4 linked regions of the Schizosaccharomyces pombe genome follow. Each later gene encodes a partner of the first gene's protein in a complex. Each region holds a gene or a part of one and is shown in the gene's direction. Other genes may lie near its edges.

Region 1 (5,523 bases):
CTTTGTATCTTTCTACCGGCCGCGCTGGTAAGAAGAGTGATGTTGGTGTTGATGGTTCTTTAGTCGAACACTATCCTCACTTTGTTGACATGCTCCGTGAAGCCTTGCGTGAGCTTATCGGTGATAACGAAAAATTGATTTCCATTGGTATTGCCAAGGATGGCAGTGGTATTGGTGCCGCTCTTTGCGCCCTCCAAGCTGTTAAGGAAAAGAAAGGCTTGGCCTAAATCATGTTAGATGTCTGTTAGCTTTTTTTGAATTGTACGTAGAAATGAGCATGTAAATATGAAATTGCTTTTTAACAGCTTTTAGTTAAGATGTTTTTTTTGAAAGTGAATTTATTTCCTGGAATTAGTTAATAGTATGAAGATTGAATATCAGATGAATTAAAAAGCATGTTGTGATTGATGTTATATGTCTCTTTAAAACAAAATTGTGGTTGTGTATTGTTATTAAATTTGTTACGATTTTGTTAACATTCCAAAAAAGAGTACGGAATTTACAAACATTACAGGACATCTCAAAGATGTGTGTGTAAATTGATTCTAACAAAAAGAAATTTGATTTTTTTTAATCTGAGTTTGTAAAAAATAAGATTCATCATACCCTATTATCTCAAATTTATGAATTATTCGGGTTCAAGATAAAATCTTCTTTTTCTTTCAAGAAATCCAATTAACCAAGATTTGTTAAAAAATATTTTTCTCATCGTTTAGTAAATTTTTCTGCAACGTTGAACGGTGAAGTTGTGCTAGCAATACTGCATACTATATAAATAAGAACCGGAAAGCGTTTTCCAACACCCAAAAGGTGTTTTTTATACTTTATTCAAGAGTTAAAAATTAAATAGCACGGTAGTAAAACCAAATTGAACAAATTAAAAATTGAAAGCGTCTCAAGTTTAAAATTTATTTAAAGAGCTTATATCAAAAAAGTAGAAAACTTTCCAAAAGGATTTCTCAAAAGAAAATCCTCCTCATTTTAATAAATCATTGTTTAGATAGATTTGGTTAAATTTTAACCAAAAGGATTATCTATTTGCTAATTTTTTAGATAACTGGAAATTGCCTAATTACACAATCTTTTTTACCTTTTTTTGATGATTGTATGTTTAAAGGGGATGTAGTTCAACTAAAAAATTGCTTATTAAACATGCAAGAGTAAATGATTATTGAATATGTATAGTTGCAACAAGAAGCAAGGTTGCGAGAAATGACAAATGGGTTGACTCAACTTTTTTCTCATTTAAATTTTTGTTTCAGTCATTTTAATAAGGTCCTTGTGAATCGATATCAAAAGAGGAGGTGGAATAATTATAAAGATAACGTTTCTGAATATCATGGTTTTCGAAAAAGAAAGTCTTTGAGGTCATGAAGTTTAGGCTGCTTTCGGTTTTTTTACTCCATACTTGCTTCGGGATGTGACACGTCCCGCTACACCAGCAATGTCATAGACACCCCGAACAACATGATATTGGACTCCTGGACAATCCTGTGCTCTGCCGCCTCTTAACAATACCACAGCATGCTCCTGTGCATTATGACCGATACCTGGAATGTAAGCAGTAACAGAACGGCCGGTTGAAAGGCGTACACGGGCAACCTTTCTTACTGCCGAATTAGGTTTTTTGGGTTTTACTGTAAAGACCCTCGTGCACACACCCCGTCGAAACGGACTTCCCTCTAAAGCAACAGATTGCTTATTTGTTTTTTCAGGACGTTTCTCTTTATTTCTTATCGTTTGATTTAATGTCTTTAACATAACTGAAGAGCTAGAAAACGCTTGAGCCTGAAATGGTGAAATAACTGTTGGCTTCATCAACCTTGAAATTACCGGATATCGAGCATATTGAGCAAAACGGATCATTATTTGGGGAAATTTAATATTTGAGCTGTATAAAATCTCAAAAATCACTATAATAGATGCTTGAGCAAGGAATTCCGAAGTTTGTACCCGAACGTCGCTGGTTTGGTGTTAGTGTATGTATATTGCCTTGGAATAGAATATCTCGCAGCATTCATATTATTCGATGGGATACAAAAATTTATTCTTTTATATTTTGACAAACATTTTTGGGTATAACTAGCGTATTAAATATTTTTTCCTCTAGGAATTGAACTTTAATGGACTAGTCTAAAACAGATGCAGAATGTAGGTATGCTAATCGACAAATTTACAGTACAGTGTTAAGCTGAAAAAATCAACTTAATTCATGACTTCTACTGAAAAACGTACTGGAAGTAGATTGTATTGAGGTTTAAGCTTCGTTTTGCCATGCCATTTTCAGTTGATGATAGTATTTATTACAATAACTTATCCATTCATTAAAACTTTAAACACTGATATGGATTTATCAATGTGTTTGACTACTTACATGAAACTTAGCAGAAAAATTGAGCATCAGGCCTACTCCATATAAAGCTTTGACTTAAAACTTAATATTTTCTACTTGTTAAATGTCTTCGTTTGGTTACATATCTCCATAAATGCATATGCTTTGTTTGGCTTAGCTACTGAAAATTCAGAAACAATTAAATGAACTCCGAATTATAATCTATATTTTTTTTATCAGTGTGTGAAATTGAAGGGGATTTGATGAAACACTTCTTTTTTTGAAATATCGTACTGGTGGCTTTTCCTAGTGTATCACGACTTACTCTCTTAATTAGCTTCATACCACTGAACACGTTTACTACTACCGCATTTTTCTCTACTCAGGTTTTTTAGCTTTTAAAGGAAGGTTTTATGTTAATACTTTTGAAAATTAAATTTTTTTCTATCAACGTGAAAAAATTCAAGGAGTACTTTAGTTTGTGTTGAAAAGTTTTTTGGCAGATGCGTTCTACGTTACAATTAATGGCTAAGGCCTCAAAGGGAAAGCACCAATCTGGTCCTTCTAATCATAGTGAGTCAATCGATTTGGTTAGAAAAGCTCTTTACGGAAATAAAAAAGTCAGGTCTTTGAAAATGAATCCAGACATGTGGGAAAAACACGAAGTTATTAATCGCGCTTGGCGTATACACGAATATCGACAAGAAAAACAAAGAGAGAATCTTCTAAAAAACCAATTCTCTGCAATGAAAATTGCTTGCGAGGAACTGAAGCATACGAGTGAAACATTATATAAAGCCGCAATGAGCGATTCAATTAACAGGAGGTTCCCCGTAGAAACGAGGACTCCTACGGACACACCACCACGGCTTTCTAAATAGGCGAGCGCCTTTTATGAGTATAATTAATATCTTCGGTAGTGCTCGAAAGTGTTATAGACAAGTTCAAGTATATAAAAAAATGTATCACTAATTACGAGCAAGTATAATCTAATTAGGATTTTTAAATAAACCAATAATTGAATTAAAGAATTATGTCTCCTAGTTTCTAGTCTACATGTATCATATTATTCATTCCCAATTTCACCGTAAACGAATGATACAAAATGAAAGGCCATGCTTTCTTTTTTAACCAAAAATTTAGAATTGTTACCAAACCCAAACCCTACCTCGAAAACAATAAAATATGACCCAAACACTGTTTTCTTTTTACAACGTGTCGCAGATGAGACAAAATGTCTTTAAAGCCAGAATTTACGTCTATCTGATTCTTCACCGGCATTGCTCTCGAAGAAAACCTCCCCTTCTTTCCTATCCCATACTCCTTTTTGAACCATACGAAGACGCATGGTAAATCGAGGACCTAATTCTTGTAGCCCAGTTCCAATACCATCTGGCATATTCGATTTTTCACGAAATGCATAACGGTGTCTTCGAAAAAAAAGAAAATCTCTTTGACAATGGATGGTAACAACTTGTCGCCCTTGAATTTGAGGCGTTTGAATAAATAATGATTGAAAGGCTCGAGCAACAGTCATACCAAGTCTCGTTGAGAAATTGTTGATTATCAGTTCTGGAATATGACCAGTGGAGCGGCCATGATTTGAAATTTCCTTTGCTGTTTGGAGATTCGATAAGGTAAAATAGAACGAAGGGCCATTCGGTAAGTGTACAAGGGTTAATGCATTTGTTTTTTTACGATCCTCATTTAATACCAGTAAATCGGTGTAACCACGCTTAGCAGCGGCTTCTGCGATTTCATGAACTTCAATATCTCCGGTTCTTTTTCGAAATTCAGCATTAGGAAAACAATCTAAAAGCTCAGATGCAAAATCATAGCATTTTCTAGAGGCTCGTTTACTCGTGGTTACCAAAAGTTTCGGAACTTTCCTTTCTTCACTAAAGTATGCAGAAAACTCATCATCTTTTAACTCCGCCTGAAGTTCCTCATCGGGTTTATCCTCTATGATAGTTTCATCATAAACTCGTTTCGATTCAATAGTAGCGGGAATATTTTCTGAAAGTCGCAATCTCTTCTTTTCCGGGTCTTTTTCTTCTTCTTTAGCACGTTCTTTTCTTCTTTCAAGCTTGTCCTTATTTTTTTGATGAAGAGCCTTCATATACTGCTGTTGGCGGACAATTTTGTTTTTAATCTTCCCCATTTTAATAAGTTGCGTATAATCTCTCAAAATTTAAAATTTAAGAATGAAATAATTTAAATCCTTACAAAAAATTGCAACTAAAAAAAATTGAGATAAGAATGAGCAACTTAAGTACAAATAAAAGAGAGTTAAAAAAAAGTATACGATGGGTTTGAAGTCTCAAAAACTTATTGCACAATCCAATTCCATGTCGCAAAATACCGAATCTGAAGAACATGCTACGAATTTCGTCAAATTTGCTTAAAAGTATTAACGCAGTATTATATCACACTGCTGTTAAGCAAAATGTATACTTTAGTTACAATTACTGTTTGTAAATAGGTGATATTACAATCCGAAATCGTACACTATAGATATCCTCATCATTAAATTGTTGAACAACTGAAAGCATTGTGGTAAGGGTTCAACATTCTACAAATCACTCACGCTACTTTCATTTTCACATTTGAATGCGTGCTTTGAATGGAACTAGCAGAAATGAAAGGGACGATAGTCTTTTAATTTCATTTCTTTACTTTCTTTTTACTTTCTTCTGAACTGAATTGCTATATTGATAAATTAAATAATGTTCTGGATAACCAGAACGAATCAGAACGTGTCTTTTAATAGCAAAATTTTTCAAAACCAAAAGCCAATGAACAATGTAAGCAAAAAGGAGGAGGAAAACAGATTAGGGAATTCATATAGAGCGTATTTTCAGAAAGGTTATTTGTATACCTTTTTAAGTCCTAGCCTCGCTCATGTCGAGTACTTGAACCATACCTCGGTTTTTGGTCTCATTTCGGACAAGTTCATCTATCAACTTATAATTCCCTGGAATCACGAGAGCTATGCACTCATATTCATCATCAATGTTTTCTTCTTCAATTTCATCAGCTAAAGAGCGTAAACGCTCTCGTAAAGCTTTTCCCTGTTTGACATCCACCACTATTCTGATGCGCATACGCGCACGGACGATAGGAATTTCGTTTTTTTCTTGCAATTTCTTAATAGCTTCCAGAGCTTGGGACTTTGCAGTTTTACTGGTAGA
Region 2 (5,944 bases), on another chromosome or scaffold:
GTATGCGGCGATAATTTTCGTTAAGAAAGGAACCAGTAACAGTGGGTATTGCATATGTGCATACAATTGGAATGTGGAGATGAAATGTAAATAAAATCTGCAAACATGATAAAATGAAACTTCAAGTTATTTTATAATTTAAATCCACTTTGATTTGACTTCCGTCTGATATGTCAAACGAGGCAGAATGAACATTTGCTTTACGAGTTAGGATGAAATCCTTGTTCACGCTCTTTCGCTTCAATGTTTTCAATTCATGCAATATTGTATAATACTCTCCATTTCTTTAATTTAAAAACTGAGAAAATTTTATTGTCCAGTTAGAAGGTCTATTTACAAATGAGTGATGTGTAAACATAGAAAATGAAAGTGTAATCGATTTGGAAAGAGGTCTCTCTCTAAATGTAGCACAGATAATGGATGAACAACACCCACCTAATCGGGTAAGGATTTTAGTTAATAAGAAAAAATTGTATTATTAAAAAAGGATGTTTTGCTTTTCCATGTACGGTATGCTCACCACTAATGTGTTGATGAGTACTGTTTATAGCTGGTCGATTCGCTCAAAATATGTAAAGCATGGCACATCTTTATTTTCCTCATATATTTACGTTGGAATTCATAATTTAAGATTTTTTAGGTTCTCCAAACCGTAATGATACCTATTGAGTTGAAATAAATATCGGCAATGAGTACGTGCAGACTTAAAACTCAGAGCTTCCGTGGAGAACAGGATAATTAATTCTTTAAATCTGAAACAAGAAAATGGTGATGTTGAACAGCGGCACATATTAATTTCTATAAAAATAAACATAATGATTTTTGAATTACAAAGTATTGAATGGTAGTTACAACTGATACCTAAAAAGATATAGTAAACCTACCAAAATCTATTGAGCTCGACCAACAAATAGGAAATAGTATAAAATACAGTTCAACAGAACTAACTCGCTCCAAACCTGTTGTGGAGTTCTACAGTCTCGTTGTAAATTGCCAATAAGGTATGATTTAATGAATTATACAATTGTTTAAATGTACAGTTTGATATCTGCTTCAATTATAAGTAGGATTGCGGTGAGCTCTAATGATGATCTGTTGTATTACTAGATGTATGAATACATAGTAACCTGAGTTATTGATGTCGGTATTGTTTGTAACCTAACGCTGATATAGCTCATGGCTGAACCTCGCTCCTCAATTCAATTTTCAAGTTATAGTATTCAAAATCAGTATTATTGTTACTGGTAAATATCTTATTATAATTGGTAATTTAATATCTTGGATAAACTATTCATGCAAAACTAGTAGAGTAAATAAAACATGTAACATAATAGTAACTCGCGATGCAAAAACATTATAGCGGTCTTTAGTGTAGCCCACTGTCTAATAACTAGTGTTGCATACTTTTCAAAGTATGATAAAACGAAGCAAGGCATCGCTATTATAGCGTATTGGTACGCAGTGCCTAATTAATGCTAACTTGTGCGTAAATTGATATTGACAGCACAATGATTCAATTTCATTCCTTAACAAGAGCCATCTCTTTTTGTTGGATGCTTAGAACGCGTGGATTTTTAGGCTATTCAAGTGTTTGGTTTTGATCTATTTATCTATTTTATATTTTAATTTCGCATTTTATTTTGCAATGTTCAAGTTGGAACTCAAACGTATATAATCACTATTGGTAAAAGGCTCTTCAAAATGCCAGACGAAAAGTTACCTCAATACAATGAAGTTTGGAATGATTTGGAGAAGGGTTGTTTACATTCTTGTCCTTCATATTCAGTCAATAATCATGTAAACAATCCAATTGTCAAACAAAACTCAACATTAACACAACCATCGTTACGAAAAAAAAATACAATGGCTGCACCTGCTAGATTAAGAAAGCGTTCGGAAAATGTGCGACTTACACAAGCTAGATATGCGATATTTCATATCTTCCTTCCTTTCATTCTTACTTTATTGCTTTATCATAATTTTTATAATTATTTCGATCAGGCATTGGCGGATCTTAATTCTGTGGTTAAATATGTTATTGAAACTATAGTGTTAATATTTACATACGTGATGACAGTGATTATTGTTTATTGTAAGTTTTTGAGATGATTTGAATTCATGGCTAACGATTTTCTAGTTTCATTTTCGTTAATTAAATTAGCGTTTGAAGAAGCTTATGTTTATGCACCATCTGTAGCTAAAGCGAATGAAGGTCTAGCTAAACATGTAGCTAAAACGATTGCAGGCCTAGTTAAATATGTAGCTAAAGCAATTCAAGGTTTGGCTCATATTATTTTATCCTTACTGTTGTTTATTCTCGGGCTCGAAGTAATAGAACAAGATGAAGAGACTGGCGACGTTGAAATGTCGTCTATGCGAGGCCAAGCAATTACCACAGAGCCAGCAAGTGACAACACAATGGCTGAGGGAACCGATTGCAACACTTCTAAAGATGTAGAATCGGGCAGCAGCTAAAAGTCATGGCTAGAAAAAAAAATCAAGGGGCTGCCAACCAGCTGCGAGTGTCTTTTTTATTTCATTACTAATTTTCTTACTTTCCTGCAGAAGCTCCTTTTTTCCCCTTTATTTCTATTTCTTGTATTATTACCTTATACGCATTGTCACTTAATCATTTCCGATGACAGTCATCACTCTTTTTCCATACATACATTTTTGTCTCTGTTATAGAGTAAACACGATGTGTTTCTGTGGTGCTAGGAAAAGTCATTTAACTAATGAATCTGGTTGTCAATTATAAATTAATCATCCTCTTTATTGTTTTACCAAATTGATATACAATCCTTAATTATGACTTTGTAAGATTTGCGAATTAAAAAATTGAACAAGTAAGGCATTACTCAAAAGACGCAAAGTAGTGATTTAACCTTAGTTTCTGTTTAATGCATAAAATGAGGATTCCATATATCATTTTCAAGTGTTCGGAGCTTTAAAATACAGTATATACAGGAAATATAAGTTCAAACTTGTTTCTAAAACAAATAAAAATGAAAAATCAATTTGGTGTAGAGCGAAAACCTATTTTAAATAATGCGATTTCCCAATTCCTGGTCAGTAGCAATTTCTTTACAAAAAGAATTAAAAAATTATTCAATTTGTATTATATGAAATCTTTCGTATTCAAAATCTACCAACATTCAGCCCAAGCGAAAAGTAATATTTTTTGCTATGTCCATAGGTAACAATATAATTTATTTCAGAGAACACCCATTGAAATTGCTGCTTATATTAACTGTGTAACATAATATATTAGGTCACAGAGAGATTCATTGCACTTTAAGTATCGTTAAGCAGATACCGAAATACGTGAGCGACACTTTAAATAGATATTAAACTGCGTAGCTGACCAGTATTCAAATTTTCCGTCACTCACCGTATCATTAAAACATTTACTGTTTTTGGCTGCTCAACGCGCAATGCTGCCTAACATCTGTGCTAGCAAACGATATGTGTTTATTGGGCACAACGTTTATACGCGGACGCGCTATTAACAAACTTCGCATCTCTTACAAGCATATATGTAAACAGCCAATCTGTACTCGTAAAAGGAAAGAATGCTTGAAAAGAACAAGTATCTCTATATATTTAGGCATATTCAAACGAATCAGGTACTTTTATCTCAAGGAAATGTTTTAAAAAAGACTGCGTTGTTTCAACTTCCCTACCCACTTCAAAAGCCAGTCGCTCCAAATGGTATGCGACCCGCTAAGCTCCGTAAAGACCATTGGGTTCCTTTACTAAAAGTCGAATTTCCTAATGAATCAATGTTTCAATCTGTTTTTATGCAACTGTTAAACTATCGAAAATATCGTTCTGTTCAACCACTGACTAGTGACCTTTTGAAATTGCCTATACCCGTTCGTAGAAGAAAAATAATGCGACAAGAGGTTCCTAACACGATTGCGGACTTGGCAGATATTTTAAATAAAGAAAAATTTCCCGAAAATTCCGTTCGTTTGCAACTGAGTGATAAATCCGATAGTGAATATGCAGATTGGCCCCCTAGTGTGCAGATTGATTCAGAGGAAATTAAACTCTCGCGAGGTTTCCGTGAAAAAACAACCGTAGACGAAGCTAGATGAAGCATAATATCATTACTTCTCTCACTTTCTTCCTTCAAAAACACCCCTCATCCATTTTTAGGCTTTCTTAAAGGGCATTATATGAAGTATAAGCTAACACATATTCATATTAGCTCAATCTTTTTTACTTAATGATAAAGTCCTTTTTACTAAAGACGGTTACGAATTCTTCCCAGTGTATCCAGTGTATTGCACTGGACAGCTTCCTTAGCTTATCATTGTACTTCAATGCGAGAGTATTGGCTAGATACTCAAGACAAGATAAATTTAATACAAATCGACACCAAATACTCGTATCTTTATTATTTTACCATTTTGAAGTTTTCGAGCTCCTATGAAATATATGCAAGATTAACTCATCACTTTATTGCCTCGTTTTTTTTTTGTTTAAAGTTTGGTCCAGAATAAAAAAAAAATATTAGCATCTAAAATAGAAATCATGGACCAAATATTTAAATAGTTATAACAATGCCAAAAGAAAAGACTTTATAAACCAAAGACATAAATACCATAAATCGTTAAAGAGCGGTAGTTATAGTTAAACTCTTAGAGTGGATTAATGCACAAGGAGGTAATCCTTCCATAAATATTAATAAGTCATCAACATATTCCTCGCTTTTTCGAAAGCTCTTATGAGTGTCGGCCAAAGGTGCTGGTAAAACAGTAAACAATACAGAAGTATTTTTAGTATGTTTCAGCACGATTTCATTCATAATTATGTATTGAGATCTCGAGGATAAATCGTTAAACGTCAACTTCTCTTTAGAATAGTCCCTTCCTATTTTTTTCTTTGGTGCTAGTCTATCAGATGAACTATCTTCTCGGACCACGTTGGGCATCAGAGATGACTCAATAGTACTGTCAGAATAAGTTCTTCTATTTTCTTGTTTTGGTGATAAAGAACGGTTTCCGAAAGAAGATTCAGTCTCAAACGACTTTACTGAATGCATATGTGGCCCAAGGCGGAAACTCAATGGCACACTTAAAGGTGGAGCACTCTTATCAAAGCTGGCAGATCTAAAGTTATAACCAGACATACGACGTGGAAAACGAATAGGTCCTAAGGAATCTACAGTATTTCCTCTTCTTTTCTTTTCTTCCTGCCACCACGAGTCATCTTTCAGTAAGTTTTCAAGCTCGGAAGACTTGCTAGGTCTCACATGCTCATTTTTGACAATGTACCTATATGCATCCAAATTCATTGCAGCAAGACAGAGCACTACAACGTCGGCTTTGATACGGAACGTTTCTAGCATTTGATGCATGCTTTCTCGTTCTGCCTCTATTTCATTCTCGAATTCAACAAGAGTGATAAGCCGTAGCCTACAACCTTGTTTCCAATCTGAAGCTGTATGAAGGATCCAACTAAGTTGAAAAACCATAGTATACGTCTCGAAATTCGTCGCAAACGTTGGTGTACTTTCATTGACTTCTGACCCCACACCTGATATTCTATGAATGGGAAACATATCTATATATTGCTTTTCTCCCTTTCTTTTTGGCCAATTAAGTCTATCGAACCCATTAGTTACCATAACGTCCACCGAACCAACAAGCATGTCTTCCAATATCTGTACCCACTTCACAGGTAGTATATCATGCTCCACAAATTCTTTTTTACTGTCAGATTCTGATTCTTCACTAGTATTCTCAAGAGAGAAAGAAGAACCCGAGTATATACGATGTCTACGATAATTCGTATTAATAAATGTTAGCACAGCTATGTTTGGACGAATTCCCCCCAAGCCTGCAGAAGATATAAGACCACGGATACCCCAAACTTCGTCTGGAGCAATAGTTAGTTCAACAAATGCTTTGATACCTCGATCAAGGACAAACTGATG
Region 3 (6,580 bases), on another chromosome or scaffold:
TATAGCTCCCTCCGTCACTGCCTCTTGGATTTCTTTGTACAGACAGTTACCTCCTGAAAAACAACCTGCTGCTTCTGTCGGAACATTGGTCGATTGGAACAAGGCCTTGGAACGTCAACGTCGTGAAGTCTTGCTTGCCCTGCAAAATTTCCATGTCATAGTTATTGCTCCTTGCAAGGAGGTCAAAGGCTATGTAAAGAAGGCAGTTGAAATGATTAAAAGAAGAGATAAAAAAGTAAAAGAACTTGAAAAAATTCAAAAAGAATTATTGGTTGTTTACGAATTGCCTGATCCTGAAACCAAAAAAAGTAAAATTAAAGCATTACAAAGCCAGCTTGTCCGTGTCAATGGTGAATTGGATGACCTTCAGAAGCATTTAACTTTGTCCTTCCCAACTCTTATTGCAAAAAGTCGTGTTTTTTTTGGACAACTTATGAAGCATTTTTACTGCTTGCAACTTCAAATGTTTCGAAAAATGCACAACATTGTTCGCCCTTGGGATTGTTTTCAAGACGATATTCCCCAAACGTGGCTCGTTGAGTTTTCCTCAGTTTGCCAGGCTGCTGAAAGCATTTCCTTAATTGCCGTAAACAACAACCGTCCTCCCGTAGAACTTCCAAAATCTGGTGATGTTTTATCAAATAGAGAGTGGGAAGCTGGAAAAATTGATGCCATGAATTCTCTCATCGCTCAGAATTTGCATACTTCAGCGTCTCAGGTAAGCCTTTCGCCTATGGCTAGTACCGCTAGCTCTTCTGTTACAAATTCTCCCGTTGACACACATACTCCTTCAACTCCAATTATGTCGCGTCCTCCATCCATGAAAGCCCTTTCTTCTGGTGTAGAGTCCCAAGATGAATCGGTTGCTAGTAGTAATTTTCAAGTTCCAATTATATCGAATCCGCTTTTTAAATCCCCTGCACCTTATTCACCAACATCCGTTATCTCCAATCATTCCTCCACCGGTAAATCCCTGGTGATTTCTGAATGGGCATACCTTGCCTCAGGAAGTGCGAATGTGGTGTTTGAGTATGTTGGTAAAAATCCTTACTTTCAAGACAAGGTAATTCGTCTTCGACGTCGAGGACAGGTTTTTACTACAGAACAAGTTTATGAATACTATCAAAATGTAATTTATCCTTTGTTTGCTGGAATGGAAAGCTTTTTAATTGAGGTTTTTTTGCAGCCAGTTACTAGGGATTTTTTGCTGGCGGCCCAAAATGCTTCTGGTATTTATTTAAATTTAAATGAGCAATACTGTTTGGTAATGAAAGATCTCAAAGATGGAATTGAAATGAAACCAAAATGGTTGACTCAGTCCCCTGCCGCTCCACCTGACTGGGTTGTTTGTCGAACGTGTGCCCTTAGCCGTATGCGTGGTAGACCCGTTGGTTTTTGTCCTCTACAGCTTGATTTCAACAATTGGCCCAAGTTTTTGTGCTGTCTTCAAGGATTTGTGAGTCCTGATATCGCAATGAGATTGTTTCAGTCTGGTATACTACGGAAGCTTCGTGACCTACAAGAGCAATACTCTCGTACTGATGTTGCGTTAGCGATGACCCTTCGAGATGTGACTTTATACATTGGTAAAGATCACATAACATTACTAGATTTAGATCCTAAAGACATGAATACCAAAATGTCTAAATGGGAACGTGATGAAAGGAATTTGATTGAAGGCGGTTGGTACTATGGTCGTGGGATGAAGTCTACTGACAAAGCATGCCGGAGCAGCATAAAGTAATTATCTCATTGTTAATTTTTTTTCTAATATGTAATACCACCATCAATTTGTGGATTTATTGCAATATTTCAATACATTATGCATTTTTGTTTTATTTGTTATATGCCTGATAATTAACAGGGAGATAAAAGCATAAAAATAAAGGGTTAGATTTATTTGTTCTCTTCAACTAACTGTTGAACACTTAATAATTCTAGAGCATTTTTTACTACGAGGTTAGTTTATTTTCTAATTATTACTAATGAAAAATTAATAAGATCCATTGAACATATTTTAGATATTTGATGAATGATCACCTAAAAGTTGTAGTTACTATACTTAACTTGCCAACCCCCATCTCACTTGCACCTTACTTCACCTCAAGTATAATTTTAAAATACAGCATGTTTCGCATCGCATCACGCCAAACAAGAAATCTGTAAGATTGTAATTATTTTTAATTAACAAATTTATACTAACTTTAAAAGACGTGCTTTATCTTCCAGTAAGAACTGGGCAAGATCGTTGGTAAACACGCGATCATTTCGAGCTGCCGCATCTGTACAAAACAATAATGCCCAAATTGGGGAAATGGTTGACAAAATAAGCTCTCTATCATTGTTAGAGACGTCTGAACTTGTAAAGCAATTAAAGGAGAAGTTAAACATTGCTGAAATAGCTCCGATGGCAGCAGTGGCTCCAGCAGTAGCTTCAGCCGCTCCTTCTGAAGAGAAAGCTCCTGAGGAAAAGAAAGAGGAAAAAACCACCTGGAATTTGAAACTCGAATCGTTTGATGCTGGTTCGAAAGCCAAGGTGATCAAAGAGGTGAAGTCTCTTTTGGGATTATCTCTTGTGGACGCAAAGAAATTCGTTGAAAGTGCTCCAAAGGTTTTGAAAGAAAATATTTTGAAAGAGGATGCTGAAGCTATAAAATCGAAGTTAGAGAAACTTTCTTGTAAAGTAGTCCTCGAATAAACTGGGTTGTTTATAAAAAATTTCATTTCTATGCTTTTCCGCCATTCAAATTCTTTGGGCAACCTTTTTGTTATTGCTTTGACATTGTGACACGATTTACTTTCTTGGATTCCCATAAAAACTAAGCTACGGAGGGAAAATTCATCATCTCTAAAAAAACCAGATATTAGGTAATGTATAAAATACTCCAAAATTATTAGTTAATTATATGTTTTTATTCTATTTGGGTTACACTCTATGTTTTCGCTCTTCGGTTCAGGAAGTTGCATGAAGACATTCATTAAACTTTTCGTATTCATCCTTTAGGGATTCCAAATCGCTTTCAGTAATTCCTTGGGTAGTGTTCCATGCAATTTCCGCTTCTAACTCTGGTTCTGAAATAGCCCAAATGTTTTCACGCATTCTTTTGTGTCGCTCTCTGTCTTCTTCAATCCTCTTAAGAATGTCGTTTTTTGAAATGGCTCCTGAAGTACTGGTATCACCTGACTTGCTCGCTTGTTCATGGGCTTCTACCGTAGCCATAGCATCTTTATATTGATTATCATCGATTACCTTCTTTTCATGCAAAGACTGGAGTACTTTTCTAACCTCTGGAGCGTTAGCAGCTCCAGCAGCTCCTATAGGAGCTACGTTCTGGACTAGCTTACAGATATCTCTACTAATCATATTAAGATATCCACCTGTAAGGCCATTTTTTAAGCACATCTCACAGAGTGTGTCCACAAAGTACATGATATTCACTCTTGTATTGAACGAACCTGACTCTAGTTCCTCCCATATACATGAATATAAGTCTTCTTCCAAGTCTAGATGCTTAATTGCAAATTGCGCGGGTTTAATTTGAGAGAATTGCGATGCATTCAATTTTCCCAAAAGCTGTAGAAATGTCATGCGGCCCTCAAATGGATCCATTTTATTATTGCAAGTATATTGGTAATTGCGAGTGCAACAACGATTTTTGTTATGATGGTTTTTCTTATACTTCGTGAACTTTGAATTCCAAAAACATCAAGAATAATTTTTTAAATAATAATAATGTGTGTTGTCTTAAATTTCAAATATAGAATAAACTTCCTTTGCCAAGTGTTCATCTATTCTTGAAGCTGCAATCTCTGAAATTTGAGACTAAAAAAAGCGTTGGGATACTATTTTGCGAAAGGACGTTGAACCTTTCCAGATTCAAATAAATTAAAATATACTCAGTGCATAAGTAATATTAAGAGGTCTTCAAACTGTTAGCATGTTGCAAAATCTGTTGCTTTAAGTAGCATGTTACTTTATTTCAAACACTATTACTGTACCTTTAAAGAAACTAAAATCTCATTTTATTAAATACTACTTTTTTAGTAATTTCAACAGCGAAATAGTAAATTTTCAAAGATATTTTTATATAGCCCTGATAAAGTTATAACCATTCACCAAACTGTTAGGATCTCTGAGTATAAATAGCGGGAAAGAATAACTACTATACTTTAATAAAAGCACAAAAACCGACCTTACTTATATGGTAAAATGAAACCCATGAATCAGTAAACAATTTTTATTTTTTTATACGCTCTACTAAGTCGTACATACAAAATCAACATTTCCTTTCAATAAAGAACTGCTTTGAAATCTAAAATGGCCAGCGACAAACTTATAAGGTTTGCCTAAAAAGTAAATATAATGGAGAAAAATACTCTCGAAAAGAGAAAAAAAATGCAGGATGTATTGTTCAAGGAGAAAAATATAACAACGGGATAATGATATAATGGAAATACACCCGTCAAGTTGCAAGTAAAAGCGATCCTAAGCAGAATAAGCTTCTACAAACTCAACATAATCAGGACTTAACTCAACACCTGATCCTTGAGCCTCCTTGATAGCATTGCAAGCTTCCTTCAAGTAATTATCCTGACTAGCCTCGTCTTGAACAATTTGAGCCAGATCCATCTTTATATCCGCAAGTTTTAACAAGCGTTCAGGAGATTTATCCAGAGTATAAATAACATTCCAGGTATCGACAGAATTGTTGAGCCAGCTGGAAGCCTTGTTGATTAGGTCATCTACATTACTTTCACTGTTGTCGAGCAAATCCATATAATATTCCGCGAAGGTAGTATAATTATTTAGAACAGCCTCTTGAGCGATTAACTTATAATAGGCAGGAGTGTTGGGATCGACAACAGATTTTAACCACAATGCAGTTATAATTGAACAGACATCAAGGAGAAAAGCTTCAGAGAATTGATCACCGAATTGAAAGAGGTAGGAAGAGAGAATGTATAATGGGCGTAAAGAATCGGGGGTAAGAGCATCAAAATATTCAGTGGAATCCTGAGCAAGAGGACGAAGGTATTGGATGGCCTTCTCAATATATGGGTTTACCAACTGAGTGACCGGGATGTTGGCAAGAGATTCCTCGTTATCGTGACGCCAAACAAGAACACGTACCTTCTCAAGGTAAGCACGAGCAAGAGCAAGGAAAAGTCTCGATTCGTTGCCAGGAGCATCCAAGCCAAGTTGAGCTCTCTCGATTGCAGCATCTATGTAGGATTCTTCGGTATTGGTTTCCTTAAGACGCTTTTGTGCAATTTCGAAAAGCTCGGACACAGCCAAAAGAGCGGAGGAATAGGCCGCGTGAAAGTCCTTGGGTAATGTAGAAATGTCCTCGGTATTCCGTAATATTCTATCAGCCTCGTGAATGGTACCAAAGACAAGGCTCACACTAGCATCTATATCGTCATTTTCCAACTTTTCGCGACTCATCTCGTATAAACCCCAAAGTTGTGAAATATTGTCTTCCTCTGTGTAAACAAGCATTGTCTCATCCTCCATTTCTCCATTGTCGACATTTTCGCTTCCGTTTTCCTTACTAGGAGACGAGTTTCCTGACAGCTCATAAGAGGCTTCTTGCTTTTGTTTTTCAAGCTGCTGCTGCTTCTTTAAAGAAGCAGCAGCGCGTAGACCTTGAGGTCTTCTTCCAATCATAACGAACCGTTAAATTAACCTGTTTTGCTAAGGCAGCGTTGACATCGAGTGATTTTTTCTACCCAAAAATCGCGCGGGAAACTTGTTAGCAAGTTACAACGTAATGTGGTATTGTTGTTGCGTTGTCGGCCATGTGCGTTAAACCTAATAAGAGCATGGCGTAACAAAAACAATACCGTCGTTTTGTGGCTGTGGAAAACGAGTTACCAGAAGCTTGGAGAACTTGACATGTTAAAATGTATTAGTGGAAAGTATAGAGGCTCGTAATACAGTCGTACATATTGACTTGTTTACAAAAATTGATGATTTTAAATTGTGAAGGGGAAGCTTATTTTAAACATCTAATTATGCAGCAAGATACATTAACACGTTTTGGATTTTCATTGTTAAAAAAAAAGAGCAAAATTAAAAAGGAGATGGAAGAAAGTAAAGCTTTATGACTTCAGCGGATCTAGAGCAATTGAAGTAAACATATCTAGCCGAAATTTAACTTAGTAAATTGATTAAGATAGGTTTCTGTAAAGGAGATCTATGATATTCAAAATGCGGCAATATTTCTTAGGGCTTATGGCGCAAAAAGGTGCTATACAAAATTGCCAGCACGAGATAACATTGAAGATTTGGCAGTTTTGTAATGTAACGCTAATCTTTATTAAACAATAATATAATACGAAATCGCAACTTTTATGTGGTTTTGACCGTTTCTTTGGCAGGGAATTTGAATTCGTTTCTTAGTTTTTGAACGATATCTGATCAACGAGTTTGTTTATTTTAATTTTTTTAAACGGCTGCTTTATGGTAATGGACCAAGATTGCTCCAGCACCTTAAAAATACAGCACTAGTATATATATTTCGGTCGCCATATCAATAAATTACTTGATTCAGGTGCCGAAGTAATAAGTACTTAGGAT
Region 4 (5,210 bases), on another chromosome or scaffold:
CTCAACAATAGAATGACGAAGATGTTTAGGATCATCCGGGTCATAATCTAACTGTGATTCGCAGGTAGTGCTTGCTCCATTCCATGCCATCATGTCTGCAGTTGTCTGTCCTGGTACAGCTTTTATAGCGAGTCCACGAGATGTCATTTCATTTTGAAATCTCTGGTACCAACCTGGAAGCGAAGGAAGAATCCCATTAAAAACAATTAACTTCGACATAATCCTTCTAATGTCAATTGGAAGAATACGGTACAGAGATAGTAAAACGTTAGGAAGGGCTTGGTCTGCTATGTCCGACCCTCCAGCATCAGAACCCTCAAAGAGAGCCTCAATGCCTGCATTGGCGATCCAAGATGGAACTCTAATTTTTTCAGCGTCATTAAAGCTTGAGCCCCGTTCAGTTTTATTTGTTTGACAAGTTGTTTCAGCTAAGGGTAAGATATCCGAATACCGAAAGTAAGCTTCTTGATCTGTTAATTGATAGAGCTCTTCAGTCGGTTTGCTTGGTACTCTTGATTTTAAAAGAGACTTCATTAATGCTTCCGTTACGGCAAACTCCTCATCTTCCAATAGCTTTTGAGAATTTTTCTTGTTGTTCAGTTTAAAACAGTCAGCCATACGTTCCAAAACCGTACTTAAGCTTCTTTTTGAAGTTTTTGTATAATGCATTAAGATACAAAGGTCTAAAATTACGATGAACTTTGTTTCTTTCATCCCGATATCCACAATTATTGCATCTCTTGTTGATGTGCTTAGGATCGCTGTTAATGGTGCACATATCCACAACGTGATTGGAACGTTTAAAGTGTTGAATAATCCATCACAAAGCTCTTTTTTCTGTTTCCTTGTAACAAAAATGTCCAATACTAATACAACGCGTACTATTTCAGCTAGACAGTTAAATGTGTTCAAGCAGTATCTTTGAATTATAGTTGTCACAATGGATATAGGGACCCAGCTTTGTTTATAAGGAACAAGATCTACTTTCCAAGTTGGCTCTTTATCGCTAGCATTTCCGATGTAAATTCCAAATTCGTCAATTTGCACCACTACGGTGCTAATATCGCAATTTTTTCGCATCAAAATAATTACTCGGAATTCAATTTAGTAGCAGTGATGTTAAAAAAACTCTTGTCGCTATTTGTTTGGTTTGGCAAAAGAAATGTAAGGGTTTGATATTTATTCAATAATTGTACTTTGACAATTTTTAAACAAATTGTTTTACTGAATAAAAAGTGGATGGCTTTTTATTTACAAAGAATACATGTATTACGGAAATGCACTCAAAACATTCGTGTGTTTACAAAACAAGTACGGCTAATCAAACGCATTCCGTACACTTAAATTAACTCAAACTTTATATGTATAAACAAAATAATATGAATTAAATACACATTTACTTATAATGCAACTTACAAAGAATATGATAAGAGAAATACGAATAATTGCTATGTTACGTTAAACATAATTGCTTACAAAAAAAGCTACAATTGCAAATCCACTACAATCAGGCACAAATTACCGCTTGAAAAAAAAACAAAAATAATCATCATCATGCTATTCCAGTTCAAAAGGGGAAAATATATTCATTTACTCCTCAATCTTTTCGGCAGCAGTGTAAAGTTGCTCACGCTTTTCTTCAACAGCCTTGGCTCTGCGTTGACGAGCAGCCTTGGCACGAGCACGACGAGCATCTTGTTGCTCTTGGATCAACTTAGTACGGTTGGCCTCAGCCTTGGCACGTTGAATATGCTCAATTAAAGCACGCTTGTGTTTAAAGGTGTTACCCTTAGCTTCCAAATAAAGAGTGTGATAAAGATGCTTATCAATCTTGCCAGACTCACGATACTTGCGAAGAAGACGACGCAAAACACGTTGACGGCGCATCCAAACAACAGCAGAGGGCATACGAGCTTCGGCAGTACCCTTACGCTTACCGTAACCGGTGTGACGACCAAGACGCTTGGCGGCATGGGTCTTACGAATGCGGAAGCGAGAATGCATCAAGTTAGGCTTGCGAATAACCAAACCGTCCTTAATCAACTTACGGACGTTTTGACGGCTGTTGGCATTGCTGATTTCGCTGATTTCATTAGGATCCATCCAAACTTTGCGTTTGCCGCATTTAAGGACGGATGCAGCAAGTCGCTTCTGCGTTCTAAGATTGGCCATTTTTCTTGCTGTTTTTGGTGGACGGACAATCTTTCTTAAACAGGCGTGGTCAATTCTTTTGTTTTTGGGGCAGTCACGTTTAGGGTAGGGTTGGGTGATAATTCAGTACTCTGCTATGAGGAACAATGACAACGAATAAAGAATAAAAAAAGTATTTAGAAAATTTATTAACATTACCAAATGCTTTGACTGAAGTAAATATGATTATTAAAATTATCCCTTACATTCGTTGAATCAGTTACCGAATATGCACATTGTGTTTCATTATTTTAGAGGATGCAAACTGAAAGGTATAGCAGATACTCGTAATACAGTATATTGAGGCTCATTAACCTTGAAAAGGCACTTAATAATCCAATCTAAGTAATAATAATAATATAAATAAAATTATAAAACTATGGTTAAACTCATCATTTAGAATTCAATCATGTACGATAAAGTGAAACCTTTCTCTAAATATTAAAGAGAAACTTTAATATTCTGCCGTCGGAAAGGGTTATCAAAATAGTATCTTCATACAGTCCTATATCTTGAACCTTACATTCTTTTTCGTAATCAGATACGGGCTTATTGTGGATGTTTGTGCAAGTTAGCATTAGCGGAGATACGATTGATTGATAATTTGTATCATGAAGATCCCAAACACAAATATCGGCACAGTTTTTGGATACAGAAACAATTCTTCCACAAGAAAATAGTTTAGATATCTGAACACCACAAACGTGTCCTAAGAGACGACCTAAAAATTTTATCCGTAATTCGTTGTTAGTTGAATAAAGCCTCTGCAAAATTAAAGAATTGTCCGGATGAGATGTCAAAATATAGGACCCATACATAAAAATAGCAGAAGCAGGTTGCTGAGAGTACTCAATGTCTTTGTTGTCATGCAATGCAAGCCTACTACTTTTGACGCAATATTCGTTGAAAACAAATTCTTGCAAACTAACGGTCCATCCACCAGATAGAACATAATCATTAAAAACTACATGAACAACTTCATATCCTTCTTTTGATTGCTGAAAGTGAATAGCAACCTGTTTTTCAATACTTGAAACATGATATTTACCAAGTACTTTCAATTTGGTTCCAGCTTGATGAGAATGCTGAAGTATATATAAATTGTTGTCGTTTGTCAATCCACAAATGTAATTTTTATGCGATGATAATGCCACAAATTTGGTAGAGAATGTTGCAAGGTTTTCAATATTTCCGAAACCTGTCTCATGCACCGTTACATGTAGCAGGTTACCATCCTTTAAACCAATATAAAGGCTGGCGTTATCCAGACACATTACAGCCGGACCAGATTTGACAGTTTCATCTCTAAAAGAAGAAATAGCCTGGCATTTCAAACTGTTACCAACTGAGCTCCATTTTGATATTTGAACGTCATTACAAAAATAAATATTATTTTGGTGTGTAAGCGTTAGCCCCAAACGATCTTCTCCAACGCTTTTTTCAGAATTAAGCAATTGAGGGAGCATAGACTCTACTTTTTTACAACGTCCGTCCTTCCAGTTAGATTGCCTTCGAAACAATCCTTTCCAATTCCTTCGTTTTTTTTCAATGCGACCATGTCGTCGTAAATGCTTAGTCCCAAATTCTGAGAGATATAAATTATGCCATACCTGTATGAAGGTCGTTAGTACATGGAAATCAGTCTCTCAAAACATGAAAATTCGACTATATCACTAAAAAGTCAAGAAGAACATACCGATGAACGGCGCACAATTGAATTCCAACTACGAGATACACGTTCTAAAGCAGCTAAGTCATGTGCAGACAAATCATTAAGAACGTGAAGGAGGGTTTCATGGCTGAAAATCGACGCAGGGTTTTTAGCCTTCACATCGGTAGTCATGTTGGATAAAATCAAAATTGCAATTGTTCATGAAAAAATATTTCACAAGCGGAAACCGAGGTTCTATATAAAATTGGAATGACAAATTGTATTATAGAGACATACTAGTTTCGTTTGTATCTCCAAGTTGACTTAGTTGTTGTAGGAAGTGAGACTATCAGGGTAACGGTCACCTAGCTTACCAAATGTCATTTCGTTTACAAAACTTACCACCATTTAATGTATTTAAAATATCTACACATAAAGATCTCTTTTAATTACATTCCTTGACGACTTTACTCTCCAGTTAAAATTTTTAATCATGATATTTGGGTACATTAATAAATTGTCAATTTTGAATGTGAACCCGTTTTCCAAAGCTAGTCAATCTGCGAAACTTTTGCTAGCAGTTGCCAGTAAAGAAACCAGCAACTCTCTTTATGGACTTAATCTCATTACCAGTCTTGCATCAAAGGATACCAATTCAAAACCATCTGTTGAAGTTGTATACAGTAAGGCTTTTAAGTAGCTAGATGGTTTAACTGCGACCGTTAGATTTGACTTTTGCTAATAATTATTATTTAGAGGATGGAAAAAAGTTGACTGTTGATCCGACAAAAATGAATATTGGTAGGCTAACTGAATTAATTGACGATTACAGTAAAACGCTTAAATTTAAGGAAATGATGCAAAAATAAGTTTAGAAAAAATGACTTTATTAATATGATTAAATTGATAACAGATAATTAAATTACATAACGACTAAATGACTTTTGTACATCGAAATCCATAACACACTATTAGTATTGTCATCGTTCGTTTGGAAAATCCCCTATTCCCCTTCTTTTATTTTCCAAGGTGTCGGTCGCATGGGTATAATAAAGTCGAACAGCTTCTTTGCCGATATTTTTTATGCTGTAATAATTCCCTAAAGCAATGTTAGTCAAAACACATTCTCGGTGTATAATTCCTGTTTGAATTTTTAGAAATGTGTATATTTAAACTTACCCCTTGGAACAATAAATACTCCATCTTTTTTCATTCGAAAAGTGGTTGCATTTACTGTGACCTCGATCTTTCCCTGTAGTATACAAAAAGACATTATGTTGTGTTTCGAAGGCTTCACTGGTTTTTCTGCTCCTGCTGGCATTTCAACGACGCCAGCAGCAAAAGATGGCTCCTCCTTGAACAAGCTGGC

The links.
Region 2: mrpl28 (region 1) and mhr1 share a complex: the UniProt entries of both Schizosaccharomyces pombe proteins name them as parts of the mitochondrial large ribosomal subunit.
Region 3: mrpl28 (region 1) and mrpl12 share a complex: the UniProt entries of both Schizosaccharomyces pombe proteins name them as parts of the mitochondrial large ribosomal subunit.
Region 4: mrpl28 (region 1) and mrpl44 share a complex: the UniProt entries of both Schizosaccharomyces pombe proteins name them as parts of the mitochondrial large ribosomal subunit.

What each region holds. Positions count from the first base shown.
Region 1 is NC_003424.3:2,666,957-2,672,479, forward strand, and holds mrpl28 (mitochondrial 54S ribosomal protein mL40), read left to right. Parts: upstream 1-2,694; 5' UTR 2,695-2,856; coding exon 2,857-3,213; 3' UTR 3,214-3,412; downstream 3,413-5,523. Other genes in the region: hxk2 (hexokinase 2), read left to right, coding at 1-227; mrps12 (mitochondrial 37S ribosomal protein uS12m), read right to left, coding at 1,378-1,866; Brix domain-containing protein Rpf1, read right to left, coding at 3,573-4,493; SBDS family ribosome maturation protein Sdo1, read right to left, coding at 5,215-5,523. UniProt on the Schizosaccharomyces pombe protein: Involved in mitochondrial genome encoded proteins translation.
Region 2 is NC_003423.3:1,798,887-1,804,830, reverse strand, and holds mhr1 (mitochondrial 54S ribosomal protein mL67 ), read left to right. Parts: upstream 1-3,540; 5' UTR 3,541-3,572; coding exon 3,573-4,100; 3' UTR 4,101-4,618; downstream 4,619-5,944. Other genes in the region: SPOM_SPBC18H10.18C (uncharacterized protein), read left to right, coding at 1,702-2,092, 2,138-2,475; vacuolar membrane cation-chloride cotransporter Vhc1, read right to left, coding at 4,619-5,944. UniProt on the Schizosaccharomyces pombe protein: Component of the mitochondrial ribosome (mitoribosome), a dedicated translation machinery responsible for the synthesis of mitochondrial genome-encoded proteins, including at least some of the essential transmembrane subunits of the mitochondrial respiratory chain.
Region 3 is NC_003421.2:1,158,383-1,164,962, forward strand, and holds mrpl12 (mitochondrial 54S ribosomal protein bL12m), read left to right. Parts: upstream 1-2,073; 5' UTR 2,074-2,127; coding exon 2,128-2,162; intron 2,163-2,211; coding exon 2,212-2,698; 3' UTR 2,699-2,953; coding exon of another isoform or gene 2,954-3,610; 3' UTR 3,611-3,934; downstream 3,935-6,580. Other genes in the region: ipk1 (inositol 1,3,4,5,6-pentakisphosphate (IP5) kinase), read left to right, coding at 1-1,744; Lsk1 complex gamma subunit lsg1, read right to left, coding at 2,954-3,610; protein Nro1, read right to left, coding at 4,487-5,668. UniProt on the Schizosaccharomyces pombe protein: Component of the mitochondrial ribosome (mitoribosome), a dedicated translation machinery responsible for the synthesis of mitochondrial genome-encoded proteins, including at least some of the essential transmembrane subunits of the mitochondrial respiratory chain.
Region 4 is NC_003423.3:4,121,549-4,126,758, forward strand, and holds mrpl44 (mitochondrial 54S ribosomal protein mL53), read left to right. Parts: upstream 1-4,334; coding exon 4,335-4,524; intron 4,525-4,597; coding exon 4,598-4,710; downstream 4,711-5,210. Other genes in the region: actin-like protein Arp10, read right to left, coding at 1-1,080; rpl1901 (60S ribosomal protein L19), read right to left, coding at 1,591-2,172; F-box protein Pof12, read right to left, coding at 2,625-3,800, 3,887-4,033; cnp3 (centromere protein), read right to left, coding at 4,822-4,940, 5,021-5,210. UniProt on the Schizosaccharomyces pombe protein: Component of the mitochondrial ribosome (mitoribosome), a dedicated translation machinery responsible for the synthesis of mitochondrial genome-encoded proteins, including at least some of the essential transmembrane subunits of the mitochondrial respiratory chain.